4 linked regions of the Arabidopsis thaliana genome follow. The protein of the gene in region 1 interacts with the protein of each later gene in a biochemical or structural test. Each region holds a gene or a part of one and is shown in the gene's direction. Other genes may lie near its edges. The genes, in order: CYCD4;1, CDKB1;1, CDKB2;1 and CDC2.

What was found.
Region 2: the proteins of CYCD4;1 (region 1) and CDKB1;1 form a complex in vitro, tested with the Arabidopsis thaliana proteins (one study listed by BioGRID).
Region 3: the proteins of CYCD4;1 (region 1) and CDKB2;1 form a complex in vitro, tested with the Arabidopsis thaliana proteins (one study listed by BioGRID).
Region 4: the proteins of CYCD4;1 (region 1) and CDC2 form a complex in vitro, tested with the Arabidopsis thaliana proteins (2 studies listed by BioGRID).

Annotation. Positions count from the first base shown.
Region 1 is NC_003076.8:26,140,967-26,145,845, reverse strand, and holds CYCD4;1 (CYCLIN D4;1), read left to right. Parts: upstream 1-1,852; 5' UTR 1,853-2,095; coding exon 2,096-2,356; intron 2,357-2,503; coding exon 2,504-2,533; intron 2,534-2,662; coding exon 2,663-2,749; intron 2,750-2,851; coding exon 2,852-2,950; intron 2,951-3,041; coding exon 3,042-3,246; coding exon of another isoform or gene 3,247-3,320; intron 3,321-3,382; coding exon 3,383-3,510; coding exon of another isoform or gene 3,511-3,546; exon of another isoform or gene 3,547-3,733; coding exon of another isoform or gene 3,734-3,736; exon of another isoform or gene 3,737-4,107; coding exon 4,108-4,254; 3' UTR 4,255-4,376; downstream 4,377-4,879. UniProt on the Arabidopsis thaliana protein: May activate cell cycle in the root apical meristem (RAM) and promote embryonic root (radicle) protrusion.
Region 2 is NC_003074.8:20,057,894-20,062,023, forward strand, and holds CDKB1;1 (cyclin-dependent kinase B1;1), read left to right. Parts: upstream 1-1,777; 5' UTR 1,778-1,988; coding exon 1,989-2,616; intron 2,617-2,710; coding exon 2,711-2,780; intron 2,781-2,983; coding exon 2,984-3,122; intron 3,123-3,264; coding exon 3,265-3,357; 3' UTR 3,358-3,595; downstream 3,596-4,130. Other genes in the region: FIP37 (FKBP12 interacting protein 37), read left to right, coding at 1-24, 402-455, 730-891, 1,037-1,106, 1,190-1,245, 1,348-1,503; AT3G54190 (Transducin/WD40 repeat-like superfamily protein), read right to left, coding at 3,866-4,107. UniProt on the Arabidopsis thaliana protein: May control G2/M (mitosis) phase progression. Plays a role in regulating seedling growth in darkness via regulation of hypocotyl cell elongation and cotyledon cell development. Plays a role in stomatal development. Required to suppress endoreduplication.
Region 3 is NC_003070.9:28,719,808-28,724,165, reverse strand, and holds CDKB2;1 (cyclin-dependent kinase B2;1), read left to right. Parts: upstream 1-1,615; 5' UTR 1,616-1,814; coding exon 1,815-2,041; intron 2,042-2,335; coding exon 2,336-2,477; intron 2,478-2,568; coding exon 2,569-2,630; intron 2,631-2,743; coding exon 2,744-2,855; intron 2,856-2,946; coding exon 2,947-3,040; intron 3,041-3,140; coding exon 3,141-3,210; intron 3,211-3,298; coding exon 3,299-3,437; intron 3,438-3,516; coding exon 3,517-3,612; 3' UTR 3,613-3,838; downstream 3,839-4,358. Other genes in the region: AT1G76550 (Phosphofructokinase family protein), read left to right, coding at 83-127, 205-261, 372-476, 557-673, 785-888, 972-1,266; AT1G76530 (Auxin efflux carrier family protein), read right to left, coding at 3,892-4,016, 4,098-4,351.
Region 4 is NC_003074.8:18,069,516-18,075,196, forward strand, and holds CDC2 (cell division control 2), read left to right. Parts: upstream 1-1,938; 5' UTR 1,939-2,156; intron 2,157-2,671; 5' UTR 2,672-2,722; coding exon 2,723-2,731; intron 2,732-2,804; coding exon 2,805-2,989; intron 2,990-3,073; coding exon 3,074-3,194; intron 3,195-3,289; coding exon 3,290-3,463; intron 3,464-3,719; coding exon 3,720-3,883; intron 3,884-4,081; coding exon 4,082-4,169; intron 4,170-4,271; coding exon 4,272-4,325; intron 4,326-4,691; coding exon 4,692-4,781; 3' UTR 4,782-5,126; downstream 5,127-5,681. UniProt on the Arabidopsis thaliana protein: Involved in the control of the cell cycle. Essential for both G1/S and G2/M (mitosis) phase transitions. Functions in cell morphogenesis as well as cell proliferation.

The DNA of each region.
Region 1 (4,879 bases):
CACCGCTCGAAAAGATAATCAAATTTAAAGACAGTAAAAACATCAAAGTTTATTAGCTGACACGTGATTGTCACAATCACGTTATTACTATACTTACTACTACACTACCAACAAAATAAAAGAGCACCTTGGTAAAATGATATAATACATTTCTTTTATATCTTATAAAATTCTACAAACCGAAAGATCAAACATGCTCGCGGTCGTATAGTTTTTTTTTTTTTTAATTTATGTTAAAGGGTTTTTTGCGGTCGTATAGTTGTAGACTTGTTTCTACTTTACAATTTCAAAAAGCTGTGTGTTTTGGTGCGCATCGGTGATTTCTAAAACTTAGTTGGATAAGAATATATTGTATGAACAGGAGTTTATCTTTACAATTTTTTAAGACTCCGACTGATAATGAAGAAACGAGAAAATATGAAAATTGTAAGAATAACAGATATAATATAGAATGAAATTTGATTTTTGAAAGTAAGATAATCGTTTTCAAGGAAAAATTTTCTTTATTATTGCAATGAATTTTGTGTAATTCATTTGCTTCCTACAAAATACGACTTTGTTAACTAAAATGACAATGAGCTAATGTTTGATGTTTCATTCCATAACATGACTATATAGTAGTTGAAAGTTGAAACCAGTGGCTCGATGACTATTTGCCATGTAACCTCAAGCAAGAAATTCTCGTGTGGTGTTTTCAAGCAACTCGTCGCGTAGCTAGCTTTATTTTCATGTGGTAGAAAATTACTAATTACTATTTATAAATAAAAAATACTAATCTCCTTACAAATATACTAATGTAGAATCTTTGGAGGTGATAGAGCACTAGTTATTGACCTCAACTTGCAAGAGAACAAAAATAAATACTTTTATAAATATTAAAAACCTTATAGTTAAATCTTATAAGTTGGGTAAAACAGAAGACAGTATATTTGGGTAAACTAAAACCATATTAAAGAAAGACCATAATGTGTAAAAAACAAAGACCATATTGTGTAACAAACAGAGACCATATTTTGAACTTAAATGAGTATATGACGTAGTTCTTATACAAATATACAGTCTGCTTTTTCATTCAAAGGTATATGCAATGATGATAGATATTGAAATTATTGTGTCTAAAAGTGACCCTAGAATCAAAAAACAGTGGTCAAAGATCTACCAGAGCAAATGGTTCAAATATCATTATAGATGGATTTTGAGTCAAATTTTACATTCAAAACTTCTTTTTATTTGTGGCATGAATTTACATTAGTTTTTTTGGGGTCATTTTTATTTTGTTCAATGTCGGATATTGAAAATAAAATATCATGATTCAGCGTATATTTCGATCATAATATCAAATTGCATTATTTAGTCAAACAATTTTGTTAAAAAATATTTCCTAAGATTTATAGAATTCAATACTGTTTTAAACTATTAGTCAAACTATATATATTTTACTGTTATTAAAACAAGGAATAAAATTATGAAATATCAAAAAATATGTAAAGACATATACTATGATTAAATCTTTCAACATTCAATATTTTACCATTGAATATACAAAAATGTTAACTGTTAACTATGCATACAAGACCGAAATACAAATTCCAAAAAACTTATGGCGCAAATCTGATACCGAACTACCAACGATATTCACTCGATTCATCATCTAAAAACTAAAATACAACGAATAAAACCAACTAACTTTTCAATTCTCACCTCAATTTCCTACCACATTTTCATAATTTTCCAACTTCTCACATTTGTTACCATGATAGTCAATTCACTTTCTAAAATCTTCAAATTTTATCTTACATTTTTCATCTTCTTCACCATTATATATAGCCTCTCTCCTTCTCACACAATCTCCATCTTACCCTAAAAACCACATTTCTTAACTTCCTCAATAAAAAAAAGAAAAGCTTCACCCTTTAATTTTACCCTCAACCCCAAAACAAAAACCCCTTCCTCCACGAGGGCATACAGAAATATCAAAGACCCAATCTTTCTTTCACTTCCCCAATCTCTAGATGACAATCTAACGATACAGTTCCTTTTAGATCGATTACCAAATACAAAGGATCAATTTTTCTTACATGAACACTCTGTTGTAATGGCAGAGGAGAATCTAGAACTGAGTCTTTTATGTACAGAGAGCAACGTTGATGATGAGGGCATGATTGTTGACGAAACTCCGATTGAAATTTCGATTCCTCAGATGGGTTTTTCTCAATCGGAGAGTGAGGAGATTATCATGGAGATGGTGGAGAAGGAGAAGCAGCATTTGCCAAGTGATGATTACATCAAGAGACTTAGAAGTGGAGATTTGGATTTGAATGTTGGAAGAAGAGATGCCCTCAATTGGATTTGGAAGGTCTGATTCTCTATTTGATTTTGATTTCTGGTTTTGAAATTTGGATGTTGATTGGTTTTGAATGATCTGTATAAGCTCAAATTGTGAAAAGCACAATCCTTTTGATGAATGATCTGAACATAAAGAGTGTGTTGCTATGTCTATTAGATCAGAGGCTTATGCAGAACAGATAGAGAGGTTTTGTCTTAAATCTGTAAATCTGATGCTCAATTTCCGATCTTTCACACTTCAATTGACAATAGATTCACTTCAGTCTCAGAGTTTTAGATCTCTAATTGATCTTTTCTTCTGTTCTGATTACAACAGGCTTGTGAAGTACACCAGTTTGGACCATTGTGTTTTTGCTTAGCAATGAACTACTTGGATCGATTCTTATCGGTTCATGATTTGCCTGTAAGTTCACATTGGTTAAACTAAAAGATTGATAATGTTTTTAGCCATTCATCATCAAAAAGTCTCATTTTTTCGCTTCTTGATTTGTGATTCTTCTTGTAGAGTGGCAAAGGTTGGATATTGCAGTTGTTGGCTGTGGCTTGTTTATCATTGGCAGCCAAAATTGAAGAAACTGAAGTTCCAATGTTGATAGATCTTCAGGTTCTCCTCTAAACTCGTTAAATTGTCGAGATGTTCTATTCGACCCGACAATGTCTTGAATCGATTGCGGTTTGATCACATTTCGGAACAGGTTGGAGATCCTCAGTTTGTGTTTGAGGCTAAATCAGTCCAAAGAATGGAGCTTTTGGTGTTGAACAAATTGAAATGGAGATTGAGAGCAATAACTCCATGCTCATACATAAGATATTTCCTGAGAAAGATGAGTAAATGTGATCAAGAACCATCCAACACATTGATATCTAGATCATTACAAGTGATAGCCAGCACAACCAAAGGTGAAAAAAAAAGTCTTTCCTTTATGTTTTATTTTCTTGACCACTTTTGTTTTTGTGCTTTTTTGGGTTTTGTTGTTTTTTTCACTTTTGCTTTTTATGATTTTGGATTAAAATGGTGGTTGTGTCGAGTGAGCAGGTATTGACTTTTTGGAGTTTAGACCTTCTGAAGTTGCTGCTGCTGTGGCACTTTCTGTTTCTGGAGAATTGCAGAGAGTACACTTTGACAACTCTTCCTTCTCTCCTCTTTTCTCACTACTTCAAAAGGTAAAAAACAATCCACCAAACATCTCAAACTCATAAATCTATTGTTTTTTAATACCAAACACACACACACATATAAAGCAGCCTTTGGTGGTTCAATTTCAAGGAAATGCCAGTTGTGGAGAAGTTTGAACTCATTAAAGATGACACATTTATGTGTATATATGTGTGTGCACTAACTTATTCATTGCATACACATAATATGTGTAATTATAAATCCAAAAAGTAAAAAAAAAAAAAAAAAAAAAAAGAGAAACCGGTTAATGGGTCTGAATCCTTTGACTTCCAAAACTAGTGGAGAGTAGACCAAAGACCACTTTAAATTATATTATTCTCTAGCTATGTGTCTTGTGACTCTCTCTGTCACACACACACATTCACTGCACAGCCTCTAGTCACATCTAAAACCAATCTGCCCCCACAAAAACATGTTTGATTCTGATTTGATCTTGCAATCCAAAACATCAGCCTGGTTTCCATTAGTTGTTTTTCTACACCAGAAAAAGCTGAAGAGATCTTTGTGTGTTGTGTTTGTGTTTGTGTTCAAGAGACAAAAACAAAAGTGTCAAGCTTTAAACTTTGTGGTTCCTTTTATTGCAGGAGAGAGTGAAGAAGATAGGGGAAATGATAGAGAGTGATGGCTCAGACTTATGTTCACAAACACCCAATGGGGTTTTAGAAGTATCGGCTTGTTGTTTCAGCTTTAAGACCCATGATTCTTCTTCTTCTTATACACATCTTTCTTAAAAAAAAAACTGTTTTTTTCTTACATTATTATAATCAGTATGATGTCTGATGAGAGGTTGAAAAAAGAGGACAATAAATCAAAGCAAAAATTTTTAAATAAATAAAAGTGTATTAATTTCAATATTTGATTTGTTTATAGCTTTGGTAATACTGAACAAATAAAATTATAAGAATTTTTTGTTGGCAGGAAATAGCAAAAAAGAGAAAGAAAATAAAACAAAGGAAAAACAGAGCTTTTTTTAATTGGTTCCCGCCAAATAAATATAGCGGGAAAAAACCGTATCGGTTCTGTTGAGCGTTAGAGTTGACCTTTTTTAATTCAAACGGTGCCGTTGTGAGATAAAGCGCGCATCGCACTAATGGGCTTAGAATTGGGCCCACGAACAGAAGTCTTTGACTTAAAGTTGACGTAAAGAGACCAAAGCTAGGTTGTGCTTTATGGAGCTTTTGCGTTTTATACCTTTTATCAACAAAACTCCAAAATCCCAATATTTTATTGAAAACTTTTTAACAAAAAATAAATAAAATGATTGGACTCCAGGTCCACTAAACCTCTAGGATCTGTAACTATGAAGAAAATGGGCCAATGCTATATTCATTAAATTTAATCATTTGGGTCTACCAT
Region 2 (4,130 bases), on another chromosome or scaffold:
CAACTCAAGCCAGCGTCAATGCAGGTATATAGTTCTCCCAATGTTTTGATTCTGGAATAATTTATACAATTGTGCCAACAATACAAATCGTGAAAAAAGTTAGCTGTTGAAGTAACTTGGACTTTTCTAGGCATAGTCCGCTTTTTATGCCGTAGTGTACCTTTTATGACGGTCATCCTCGACCTTGATGCATGTAGAGGGAAACCTTTTCCTTGCCTTTTAGATTTCAGTCTGAATACGATGATAAGCGCATGTTTCTTGTAAACCTTTACCTGGCATCTGAATTATTAACAAGTCTGAATAGAAGAAATGGCTATAAATTTTGAATTGCAATGGTCATTTAGCAGCTTGTCATGATCAGATAGCAGTGTAGATTATTTATTCTTTGTTTACCTTTGTAGGCGAGGAGGTTGTTACTGGATCCAGCAATTCATGAAGAATTTTCACGTCTGAAGGTCTGCACCTACTCGTTTCTATTTACCCTTAGACTACTTTTTCATAAGGATGTATTTGTCGTAATATATCCTTAGATAATCCAAACTGTATCTACGGAACAAAATTCCGCTTTCGTTATGAATGGCCTGAAAGAATAATTCCTTAATAACTGATAGCTGACACTGTCGTAGTAGATACAGTTGAGGACGAACATTCCCAACTTTTTGTTAATGTACATTTGTTGCAGTTAAGTAAAGAGTAGATGAAGTTTGATTCCATGTTTCTATTATGCAGAATCTAGTAGAGGAAAAAGACAAGAAGATCAAGGAACTCCAGGACAACATTGCAGCAGTTACTTTTACTCCTCAAAGCAAGAATGGAAAGATGCTTATGGCAAAGTGCAGAACCCTGCAAGAGGAAAATGAGGAGATTGGGCACCAAGCTGCCGAAGGAAAGGTATAGTTTGTTCTACTCTCAGTCTTCAATCTGGAATTATATGAATTATATAGTAAAGCAGTAGTCTTCTTCAACCTTTGTAAAACATGATTCCCTGAAAAGGGTAAAGAAATTGATGCTTGCCTATGTTCATGTGGAATGGCAGATTCATGAACTAGCAATAAAGCTTGCAATGCAGAAGTCTCAAAACGCGGAACTTAGAAGTCAATTTGAAGGTAAGTCATATGTTGATATTAAGTTATAGCAAAGATTTTTGTAGAGTTTGCAATTTGGATTTGAGGATTTTTGTGGAATGCAGGACTGTACAAACACATGGAGGAATTAACTAATGATGTTGAGAGATCAAATGAAACGGTGTTGATCCTTTTCTCTTATCTCTTAATTCCTCAAGATTTTTCTTAAAACGGAAGAATGATTATGGTTTTGTTGGAAATATGTGACTTTGATAAATCTCAGGTGATAATATTGCAAGAGAAACTGGAAGAGAAAGAGAAGGAGATAGAGAGAGTAAAGAAAGGACTGGAAATTGTGTCTGAGCTAGTAGGTGACAAGAAAGATGAAGTTGATGAAATTGATGAAGATGCAAAAGAAGAAATTGCTGGTGGAGAATAGGAATTTGTAGCTTTCAAAAAATGTTTTGTACATTTTGAAGTTCAAAATCACATTTCTTCATTCGTTATCTGTTTCATGAAACAGAAAGTTCTAATCTTCATCTTCTATTAATATGTTTTAATTCGCACCATTGGTGTTTCGATATCGATATGTGGCTTCCCGATATAACTCGTGAAGAATTTGAACTCGTCAACTCACGCAAATCATCTGAGTAGATATCAGATTAGACCAAAATAAGTGAGTCCAATTAGTTTTCCCCAAAAACATTCACAGAGGTCACGACTTTAGGTTAATCTGTTGCAGTTGTCACGAACGAATTCAAAATCCAAAGGAGCGGGAAAAACGAAGTGACGTGGAAGTATCTTAGCGAAAGCATCTCTCTCTCTCTCTCTCACAATCCATCATCTTCATTAATCTGATCAAATAATAGGGTTAATCAAAAGTCCAGAAACCAACACAGTTCAATTTTACGAAACCTCTCAGAAATGGAGAAGTACGAGAAGCTAGAGAAGGTCGGAGAAGGAACATACGGGAAAGTCTACAAAGCGATGGAGAAAGGAACTGGTAAGCTTGTTGCTCTGAAGAAAACTCGTCTCGAGATGGACGAAGAAGGTATTCCACCAACTGCTCTTCGTGAGATCTCGCTTCTCCAGATGTTATCAACATCGATCTATGTTGTTCGATTACTCTGCGTCGAACATGTTCATCAACCATCAACCAAATCTCAATCTACCAAATCCAATCTCTATCTCGTTTTCGAGTATCTCGATACTGATCTTAAGAAATTCATCGATTCGTATAGGAAAGGACCTAATCCTAAGCCTCTTGAGCCTTTTTTGATTCAGAAGTTGATGTTTCAGCTTTGTAAAGGTGTTGCGCATTGTCATAGTCATGGTGTGCTTCACCGTGATCTTAAACCGCAGAATCTTCTTCTGGTGAAAGATAAAGAGCTTCTTAAGATTGCTGATTTGGGTCTTGGTCGTGCTTTTACTGTTCCTCTTAAGTCTTATACGCATGAGATTGTTACTCTTTGGTATAGAGCTCCTGAAGTTCTTCTTGGATCTACTCATTATTCAACTGGTGTTGACATGTGGTCTGTTGGTTGTATCTTTGGTTAGTAGTCTCAATTATGCTTTTATGTTTTTGAATTCGTCTCTCTGCGATGTGATTTTGTATTTATGCTGTTTCAATCTTTGAATTTGTATAGCTGAGATGGTTCGGAGGCAAGCTCTTTTCCCTGGTGATTCTGAGTTTCAGCAATTGCTTCATATCTTCAGGTATTTTGAATTTACCTTCCATTACTTCTTCTGGTTTTGTCCTGTTTCAGTGTGAATTGCATCACTGAATGATATGCTAGCTTACCAATTGAGAACAACTGATTCTATATAGTCCAGGTTTCTTTGACCAATTATTCAATGGATTTAGCATTCTTGAATAGAGACTATGATCTTTACTAATGGTTCCTATTTGGTTCATGGAGGTTGCTAGGAACACCAACTGAGCAGCAATGGCCGGGTGTTTCCACACTGCGTGACTGGCATGTTTACCCTAAGTGGGAGCCGCAAGACTTAACTCTTGCTGTTCCTTCTCTTTCACCTCAAGGAGTTGATCTTCTCACGGTAAATAACTCCCTGATGACCATAGCTTTGTTGCAAAGTTGCTCTAATATTGTTACCTCTTGCTTCTGCTTCCCTCTTTTTTTCCTAAGCTGAATTGCTTGGTTAAATCTTTCTGATTGAGCTTATGTTTGTACAATTGCAGAAAATGCTCAAGTACAATCCAGCCGAAAGAATTTCAGCAAAAACAGCACTTGATCACCCATATTTTGACAGCCTTGACAAGTCTCAGTTCTGAAGTTCATTGCTGTATCTGTTGTCATCGTCTTGGTGAATTTAAACATTTGATCTATCTTTGTTTCCGACACATTAGTGTCTTATGTTTGGTTTAGAGATTTGTAGTCTTTCAGAAGAAACTGGTAAAGCTTGTATTCTCAAGTGAATGTAAAACACAATGGTGTGGTAGCAATGAGATGATTTTCTATCAATCGCTTGTTTTTGTGTAATCATACAAAGTTGATGCTCAACTATCTGAATCAAGTCAATTTTGAAAATTAAAGTGAGACCTTACAGGTGGAATAAAGGGTCTTTCATAGAATTGTCAAAACCCAAATGTTACGTACAATGGTATTAGTGTACACAACTGGCATTCTGACGCGCACACTTGCCCACAAATGGTTTACAACACAGATGGCTGCTCAAAGACACTAAGTTAAAAAGATTTATCGCTACACACAATTGAAGGAAACCAAATGATACATTCGTAGTAGTAGTAGTAGCAGCTAACGATGACGATGTATGTGAAATCAATTGGACCACACATGAACAAGGCCGTGTCTGTTTCCTGTGTATATCTCATTGCGTTCTTCGTCGTAGAAAAGAGCGGTTATGTCTTCCAAAGCTTCAGCTACAGCGTTTCTTCTTTGCTTTGAGTTCTTTCCCATACAATTACTGCTGCTGCTCTCATCATCTTTTGGAGGCCCACTGCTTGGTGTTATTTTAGCTAAGCATTTCCCAGTCAATATATTGCTGATATTGATTGATCCCGCTGGATCATCCCACAAAACACCA
Region 3 (4,358 bases), on another chromosome or scaffold:
TGACATGGTACTTTTCTTTGTTTTTTCTCACATGTAAACGAGTATGTGTTCTTATGATAAATTGTCTTCTTTGTTTCTGCAGCTACTTCTCCATCCCGAGTCTGATGATTCTGCTCAGCTATCCCAGGTAAGAAGAAAGAAAATGATGGAGTTACTGTGCTATAAAAAGTTGGAATTCTAATTGCTCATTTACTTTCTTCTTAGATTGAGACGGAGAAACTTCTGGCTTATCTTGTGGAGACTGAAATGAACAAGCGCTTGGTATGTTGCACATCTTTTTCACTTGTCACAATCCATTTTTTTCAAATTTTTTTGAATAACCTTGCCTGAATATTCAAGTTGTCCCTAAAACTAAGTTTTGAAAATGACAGAAAGAAGGAACCTACAAAGGGAAGAAATTCAACGCTATCTGTCACTTTTTTGGTTACCAAGCTCGTGGATCTCTTCCATCAAAATTCGATTGTGACTACGCCTATGTATGTGATCGCCAAACTAAAATGCTATTGCAACTTCAATATTATGGACATTCACACCATTGATTATAACTTTGATGCAGGTTCTTGGACATGTATGTTACCACATCCTCGCAGCTGGTTTGAATGGTTACATGGCGACAGTGACTAACCTGAAGAGTCCTGTAAACAAATGGAAATGCGGGGCTGCGCCTATCTCAGTTGAGTTTTGTCTCTTATTTATAAGGCTAAAGTTGTTTAGTATATGTGTTGATTTCTGACTTCAAGTTTCAGTTTTACTGACCCCAATCTCTTTCTCTGTTTAACCTTAGGCAATGATGACGGTTAAGCGTTGGTCCCAAAATTCTGGTTCTACTACGATTGGTAGACCTGTAATTCATCCAGCTTCAGTTGACTTGAAAGGAAAAGCATACGAGTAAGCTTTTGTTCCTCACTCATTAGACAAAGATTAGAATGAACATGAAATCAAGTGATATAATTTGTCAAATGATTTTGCAGTCTATTGAGACAAAACGCGCAGAAATTCTTGATGGAAGATATGTACCGAAACCCAGGACCAGTCCAGTATGATGGTCCAGGTGCAGATGCAAAGGCGGTAAGTCTGTGTGTAGAAGACCAGGATTACATGGGGAAAATCAAGAAGCTGCAGGAGTATCTTGATCAGGTGAGGACGATTGTGAAACCGGGTTGCTCTCAAGATGTTTTGAAAGCGGCATTGAGTGTTATGGCCTCGGTGACTGATGTTCTCACTACGATCTCATCTTCTTCCACCAGCGGTCAGCAATTTGCTTAAAGATTTTTTTATTGTTTTGGTTTTCCCTTTAACCATAAACTTCATTAGCTCTCTCTCTCTCTCTCTCTTTCCATTTTGAAGTCGTCTTCTGATTTACGCAAACTTTATTGTTCAAAGTTGAGTTTAGGAAAAGGATATTCAAAGTTAAAGGATTTGAGTAATGCTTTTTTAATGAAGAAGTCTGTGTTTGGGTTCACTAATCTTCTTGTTGCCTTCTCGATCATAATTTGTATATGGTGCGACCAAATCAAAGTACCTACGGATATATATGACAAGTGGACACAAATGAATAAATGTAAAAATTAAAATTAAATACTATAGTACGTGGCAAATTAAAAAAAGGCGTTTATGAAAAGACCGCTCCTCCACGCTCCAGTTTGAATTTCGAAAAATCAGTCCGTTGTGAAAGCCCAAGAATAAGGATTCTATAATTTCAGGTCTCATTTAATTATATAACCTATCTACACTTTGATCTCCGACAATTCACTTTCCCAATAAGAACCAACTGAGAGAGAGAGAGCGCCGGAGAAGAAGAATTTTAGAGAGCGATGGACGAGGGAGTTATAGCAGTTTCCGCCATGGATGCTTTCGAGAAGCTTGAGAAAGTTGGTGAAGGGACATACGGGAAAGTTTACAGAGCCAGAGAGAAAGCTACCGGGAAAATCGTCGCTCTAAAGAAGACGCGTCTCCATGAGGACGAAGAAGGCGTTCCTTCCACCACTCTCCGCGAGATCTCCATTTTGCGAATGCTCGCTCGTGATCCTCACGTCGTCAGGTTAGGGTTTTACCTCTGATTCGATAAAATTGCCCCCATATTCTCGATCTTGTAGTCGCGTTAGGGTTTATATAGTCGATTTCTCACTATCTCGCTTGTTTTCCAGATTAGATAGATCTCAATTTCAAATCGTAGTAATCAGTTCGAAGAGTCTACTAATTGTTAGATGATTTGGCTCTGAGAAACTGTTGATAGATGTTTCCCTAGAGTTTGATCTGGATCGCTGTATCAGTTAGTTTTCCAGTGATTGCAAAATCAATTATATACGGAAACTTTATTTGTCATCTTTTTCAGGTTAATGGATGTTAAGCAAGGACTAAGCAAAGAAGGCAAAACTGTACTGTACCTGGTTTTTGAATACATGGACACTGATGTCAAGAAATTCATCAGAAGTTTCCGTAGCACTGGCAAGAACATTCCAACCCAAACTATCAAGGTTTTTAACCACCTTATTACTGTCATCTCTCTTTCTCGCTTCATTTGTGCTCACTTGAACCAAACATAACATTCTGAAAAGTTATTTGCAGAGCTTGATGTATCAACTATGCAAAGGTATGGCATTCTGCCATGGTCACGGGATATTGCACAGGTGAATTGTTCTCTGGCTTTCCCTTGTTTTCAACTTCTAAGTGAGAATGATTTTAGATAATAACTTGGAAGAGAGATTTCTTCTTCTTACTATTTCTCCTTGTTTCAAAACAGAGATCTCAAGCCTCACAATCTCTTGATGGATCCCAAGACAATGAGGCTCAAAATAGCAGATCTTGGTTTAGCCAGAGCCTTCACTCTGCCAATGAAGAAGTATACCCATGAGGTAATCAATGTTTGACACTGCTTCTTGCACTTATCCCACTTTGTATGTATTGTAGAACTTATGGTTTTGAATCGGTTGTTCATTGCAACAGATATTAACTCTTTGGTATAGAGCTCCAGAGGTTCTTCTTGGTGCCACCCATTACTCTACAGCTGTGGATATGTGGTCTGTTGGCTGCATATTTGGTATGTGTTCTTTTCAGACTCGTTGATTTCACTAGTCACTGCGATATCATCTTAAGTTACTAAACAACAACAATTAACATTGTTCCTTCACCATTTACAGCTGAACTTGTGACCAACCAAGCAATCTTTCAGGGAGACTCTGAGCTCCAACAGCTCCTCCATATTTTCAAGTAAGTCTTTGTTGATTCTTCACCTTTTACATGACAAACATAAGAAAACCTTTTTTCATTTTGCCGCTCTTTCCGGTGTACAACTCAGGTTGTTTGGGACACCCAATGAAGAAATGTGGCCAGGAGTGAGCACACTCAAGAACTGGCATGAATACCCACAGTGGAAACCATCGACTCTATCCTCTGCTGTTCCAAACCTCGACGAGGCTGGAGTTGATCTTCTATCTGTAAGTCTAAAGTTTATTAACTAGCTACCAAAACAAACTCAACAGACGAACTAATTGCGTTTTTATCTTCCTGGAACAGAAAATGCTGCAGTACGAGCCAGCGAAACGAATCTCAGCAAAGATGGCTATGGAGCATCCTTACTTTGATGATCTGCCAGAAAAGTCCTCTCTCTAAGGATTTAAAATCTTCAGTTAGTATCTTTCCAAGTTTTATGGTTTTTCTAGTTTTGCTTCTTTCAAGCATATCTCTAGTGTGCTGCTTCCCCCTCTATGAATCATCCTTTCTTTAGCATAATATATCACTTCTGATTGTTGTTTCTTTCTATTCGAATATTTGGATTAACGGCTTTAATGTTCTTAAGACTATTCGCAATTATAATGATCCAGTCATCTGGAAGTCTAAGAATAAGTTCTTGAATAAATGGATACATATAACAAGATCGAGTGTGGGGATTTATGTCACAAGCCACATGAAGAATGTTGGCCAAACAGTGAGTGAAACTGCAGCCAAAGAGTAAGTCCAAAGCATAATCACAGAGCATTCACTCTCCCCAGCGCCGAATAATTGGGTCTTTGTACCTGAAAAGTAAGGGAAACTAGTGATGTATCTTATCTGAAAGAAGTAACTGTATTTTAAGGAGTTGGTTTCAAGCCATGCACCTAGATTCATGGCTGGTGGGACAGCATACTGAAGAAGAAGAACGAATTGGTACAAGGGTTCTGAGGTTACTAAATCCAACTTGTATGCTCCTCTCACGAGTAAAACACCGCTTACAGGTAGCAAAATGTAACGAGCTACCAAGACGCCGATAATGCAGGAGTTTTTCATTTCTGAACTCCTCACTTCCGACCTCCTCATTCCTTTAAGTAAGTTTCCTCCAAGAATCAGGGTCATAGCAGGAATGGCCCCATCTCTTTAGC
Region 4 (5,681 bases), on another chromosome or scaffold:
CTCTTACTTTTTTCTTTACCCCTTCCCAATTGTAATTCATATTATCTGATCTTAAAAAATTTAATTCAAGTTCATGATATATCAATTAAAAAGTTGTATAGTTTTCTACATATATCATGACTTAAATTTTTGAAAACAAACATAAAATAATTTAGATGTGAATAGTGTTGTCAATGAATAACATAAAGTTCTATATAGATAAACAATATTTTTTTATAGAAAGATATTAAACCCTAAAGGATAATATATAGAGAACCCAAGAGTTTAAATCTAAACCAATAATTAAATCACTTAACATCCTTAATCAAAACAAATAATTCATTTTAAAACGTATATAAAACAAAGTATACGTAAATAGTATATTTACAAATAGAATAGTATCTCTCAAATTGCAACAACGAAACTCAATTTCATCACCAAGACACCAAGCGCAACAACGAAAGTCGATTCCCTGAATCCAAATTGTGTTCCTCCCTCTGTAATTCGAAACCCCCAAATCAAATCTCACCCAAAAGTAATTAAGAGACTCTGATTTGAAAACAAAAACAAGTAACGAGGTAGGTGTAAAGACTTTACTGGGAGAAAGAGAGAGGGAGAGGGAAAAAGAAAGAGAGAGAAAGAGAGAGGGGGAGAGAGAGAAAGAGGGAGGGAAGATAGAAGGGAAGAGAGAGGTAGACGGAAAGAGAAATGGAGAAAAATAGATAAAGGGGTAAACTTGGAATTAATATACAAAATATAGAGGATATCAGTTCTTTTTCCTTTTGATGTTAGTTTCTTAATTATAAACTTTTTGTTGGTTAGTTTTGCCAATTCCCTTACTTACAACTGATAACCGTATAGCTCTTTTATCAGAAAAAACTTTATATATCTAATCTCCCAAAATATACAAATGTGAGAAATATCTGAAAATAAATCAATTCTCACCAATTATATATATTTGATTACTTAAAAATGTTAATATATGGCAGTTGCTTGTTCAGAGAATAACTTAAAAAATTGATCACGAGATCGGCTTATGTTTAATATTTTTGAACTCTTGGGATAAAAGTTTTGAAGATATATATATCGTAGAAAAGTTTTGTGTTCTTTAATTAGTTACAAAATTTTGAGTTTTTTTTTTTTCTTTCATAAAGTATCAGAATATCAGGGTGATTTATTGAATAGTTTATTTTTTCTCGTTCTACTCACGTTATTCTTGCAAGTATTAATTTTGGTTTGTTTATAAAAAAAGTATTTGGAAATTTTATGTGAGCAAGTGCGAAATAAACGAGGATTTTGGGAAGTATTTTTTTTTTTGTAAAATCGGTTATATTGAACGTTATACTATATATATTATTATATAAATATAACTGCTAAAGACTAAATTTAGATACTAAAATCAGCATTGATGAAGATCCACATGAATAAGACTCGTCTCTTAACTCAACATTTAACATATGATTTTCATATTATTGATCATTTATCTTTGTGTTGGTCCAAGGTGCCAGACTTTATTATTTACATTAAATGTTGAGTTGTTTACTGACATATTTTTTAATTAAAACAACTTTCATATTATTGCCCATTTATATTTTGGTTGGTCCTCCAAAGACTTACAGGATACATATGTTTCTCCATTTTCATTTTTATGATCTAAAACGTCTTTTTCTAACTTAGATTCTAAATGGTTACAGCAAACCGGACATACAATTTTGCTTGTCAAATGGATCGTTGAGATAGACAACAATCCAATGTAAAACCAAAACTCTTGATTTATAATTGGTCTGCAATGATTTTTTTTTGGTTCATATACCATTTTATAAGATAGCAAACCATTTTCATCATAAAAGATATATTTTTTTATCATTGAATACCAATCAAACCCGGTATAATAAATAAAATTGTACCAAATTAATGCGGTTAGGTAAATTCAATTTATTGGAAATTAAAGAAGAGAAAAAAAAAATAACGAACAAAATTTCCTTGACACAAAAAAAAAAAAAGAAGAAAGAAAAAACCCTTACTCTCAATTAGTCAATCCCCTTCCCTAGTCCTCCTCTCTTCAAGCTTTTCACAGAAAACCACCACCCTTCTCTCTCTACTGCCTTTTTACCACAGAGAAGAGAGAGGATCCGTCGGTGTGCTAGTCTCACTGACACTACATCCGATCGTCGCCGGTAAGTTGATTTCGTTACTCTCCGATCAATTTCTTTTCCGGAGGAGGAACTTGTTTTCCGTGCGAAATTCTGACTTGAACTTTGTTGTCAATTCATCAAACGCTTTATCTTTTCTCCATCTTCAATTATCTTACTGCTTCGTCGCTGATCTCTACTTGTTTTCCTCCGTTTTGCATTTTCAGTGGCGTTTCTTAGTGTTTCACTAGATTTAGACTGGTTTTGCTTGTGTGCATTTTGTCATCAGTGTTTATGATTGTTCGCTTTAGCTCTATGTTTCTATGGATTTGATAATATATGAGTTCGCTGCTCTGGATTCAGCTGGCTTGTTTGATTGTTCATTTTCATAATTCTGTCCAAAGAATCAAATCCACAGTAGCTCGGATCTGAGATTGATTTGTTTCTTTGCGTCTTTGTGTAGATTTGACTTTAATTTTGAGATTGTTGTGTGCTGATATACAGCTTAATTAATATAGCCTCTGATGTGTTATTATCGATGTGTCATTATCAATCTACAGGTGACATTTTATAAGTGTGGAGTTTACTTCAGCTTTATTATTCAGGAATTGATGGATCAGGTTGGTGTAAATAGTTGTTTCAGTTCTTACTCTTTTGACGAGAGTCTCTGTTAATGTGCTCTTATTAATGCAGTACGAGAAAGTTGAGAAGATTGGTGAAGGAACTTACGGTGTGGTTTATAAGGCACGTGACAAAGTGACTAATGAGACAATTGCTTTGAAGAAGATCAGGCTAGAGCAGGAGGATGAAGGTGTTCCTAGCACAGCAATCAGAGAAATCTCCCTCTTGAAAGAAATGCAGCACAGCAACATTGTCAAGTATGATGTTAATACCATTGTTGAAAACTGATTCAGCATGATGACTCTGGTAAACAATTTTGATTGATGTTTTTTGCTACACAGATTGCAGGATGTGGTGCACAGCGAGAAACGTTTGTATCTGGTTTTTGAGTATCTTGACTTGGATCTCAAAAAGCACATGGATTCTACTCCTGATTTCTCCAAGGATCTACATATGATCAAAGTGAGTGCTAAGAAACTTTAGGCATTGTTTTATATATGTGCTTAAACTCAATACTCAATATAAGCTGATCAGAGCTGTTCATCCACTATTTTCAGACATATCTTTACCAGATTCTCCGTGGAATTGCGTATTGCCACTCTCATAGGGTTCTCCATCGTGATCTGAAGCCACAGAATTTGTTGATTGATCGCCGCACAAACTCACTGAAGCTTGCTGATTTTGGACTGGCCAGAGCATTCGGTATCCCTGTCAGGACATTTACTCATGAGGTACCAAAGAGCTTTATTCCTTGTTCATATGTTCCCGTTATGAAATCTTTTGGCTGGCTGCATTCCTTATGAGTGTAATGTAAATTAAGTATTATACCACTTATGTGTCTGATAAATGTGATGAAAAGGACTAAGCCATTTCACATAGACGGTTGAAGTAAGCTAGTTCAAGATACTGTAAAATATTTCAATGCTACATCCAGATTTCAGATCTCTTCCTGGTTATTCACACAATTTTTGCATATTGTTCCTTTAGGTTGTTACTCTCTGGTACCGAGCACCAGAGATACTCCTAGGATCTCATCATTACTCTACACCTGTTGATATTTGGTCTGTGGGGTGCATATTTGCTGAGATGATCAGCCAAAAGCCCTTATTTCCTGGAGACTCCGAGATTGATCAACTCTTCAAGATTTTCAGGTTTAATTGCTAACTTCCCCAGTCCAATATTCCTCTATATATTACAAGTGCAAAGACTTGTCTGCAATGATATCACAAGGGATTGTGGAAACATTTTCAACTTGATATCACATTTTGGAGAAGTAGTAAAGGACACAGAAATTGAATTGTTAACTGATTATAAATCTGTTACTGCCTTGTTTTGTTGTCTTCTTCTAGAATCATGGGAACTCCGTACGAGGATACATGGCGTGGGGTAACTTCTCTACCGGATTATAAATCTGCTTTCCCTAAATGGAAACCAACGGTACTTCAAATGTCTTTATTCGCTTGTACATCTTGTCTTCAGTAGTCAAGAGTTCACAACATATATTAATTCTTGCCCTTGTTTTTTTTTCTTATACCACAGGACCTAGAAACTTTTGTCCCCAATCTAGATCCCGATGGAGTCGATCTCCTTTCTGTAAGTTCACTGAGCTAGATATATACACACACATATATAGACACACTACTTCTGCTATTAGAGACCTGTATGCTTGATTGTGATGGATCTGGTCTCATGTTTCTTACTAAAAACCTTTTAACCATTTGAGGTTTTAGATGTCTTATAAAGTCATCAAGAGCCGGCGTACTAAAACCAATTCGATTAGGCTTCATAGTTTCAAAACCACATGAAGCCAAAACCAAACTTGTTTGAAATATGAACAATCTTCAAAAACCAGGATTCTTGAAATTCCTAACCAAACCAGACATCTGGATAGAAATCTAAGATTTTGAGCTCCTGTGAAAGCAAAGATGATAATATATCTCTCTGCTTGATTTGTTTCAGAAAATGCTGTTAATGGATCCGACCAAAAGAATCAACGCAAGAGCCGCCCTGGAGCATGAATACTTCAAGGATCTTGGAGGCATGCCTTAGAAAGGCATAAAACCAGTAATCTCCTTCATTCTATATATAATTATCAATCCTAAGAAAATGAAGAACAATATTAATGGGTTTTGTTTATTCTTTTTCTGAGTTCGTTTCCTACTTATATTCTATTACGAAAAAAAAGAAAGAAGAAGATTTCGAGTGTGTTTTTTTTTACTTCTAAGCTTTTGAGATCAGTTTCTTGTATCTTATTTTACCCAGAATATAGTATTTCCCTATATGAAATATGGTTTTTGTTTTGCAAAATGACCATATTATGCAACTTCTCAGCTTCTTGATTGTGCCTTGATAGTGATCTTTTGAAATATATCCCAAAAAACATCACTTTTTTCGATTTCATTAGTACTTATTTACGAGTTACGACGTCATTTGATAACTAGTATATATGGTCCGTCGATCTTAATTTCCTATTTATAAAGGGTGCACCGTTTTTAATGAGACAAGAGGGTCCAAGTAGCCAATCATTAATGAGACCAAAGTTGACCAGAAAAAGCTGACAAATAAATTGACGAGAAGAACAATTCAACACGTATTCGATAGTTTGGATTACATTTTACAGTTGGTCGAAATTCGAAGTAGATCAAATGTCAATAATCTAATTCGAAACTAAATGAAGGTACCTGATAACCATTTCAGTGTTAGTTAGCAGTGGTTTCAATCTATTCACTAAGCAAAGACGCTTCCATTCTGAAAATCAAGTCCAATGGGAGGCATAAACTTAAGTGTCTGAAAAACTCAAAAAAGCATAGCCTCGTGTAAAATAGACCGATCTATTTATTCATGAATATATGTATGATTATCAAAGTGCATTTATACTTTTTACGTTTTAAAATTTCGTATATAAACTTTCCTTAGTGAATATTATAACATAATTTCTAATGAAAACTT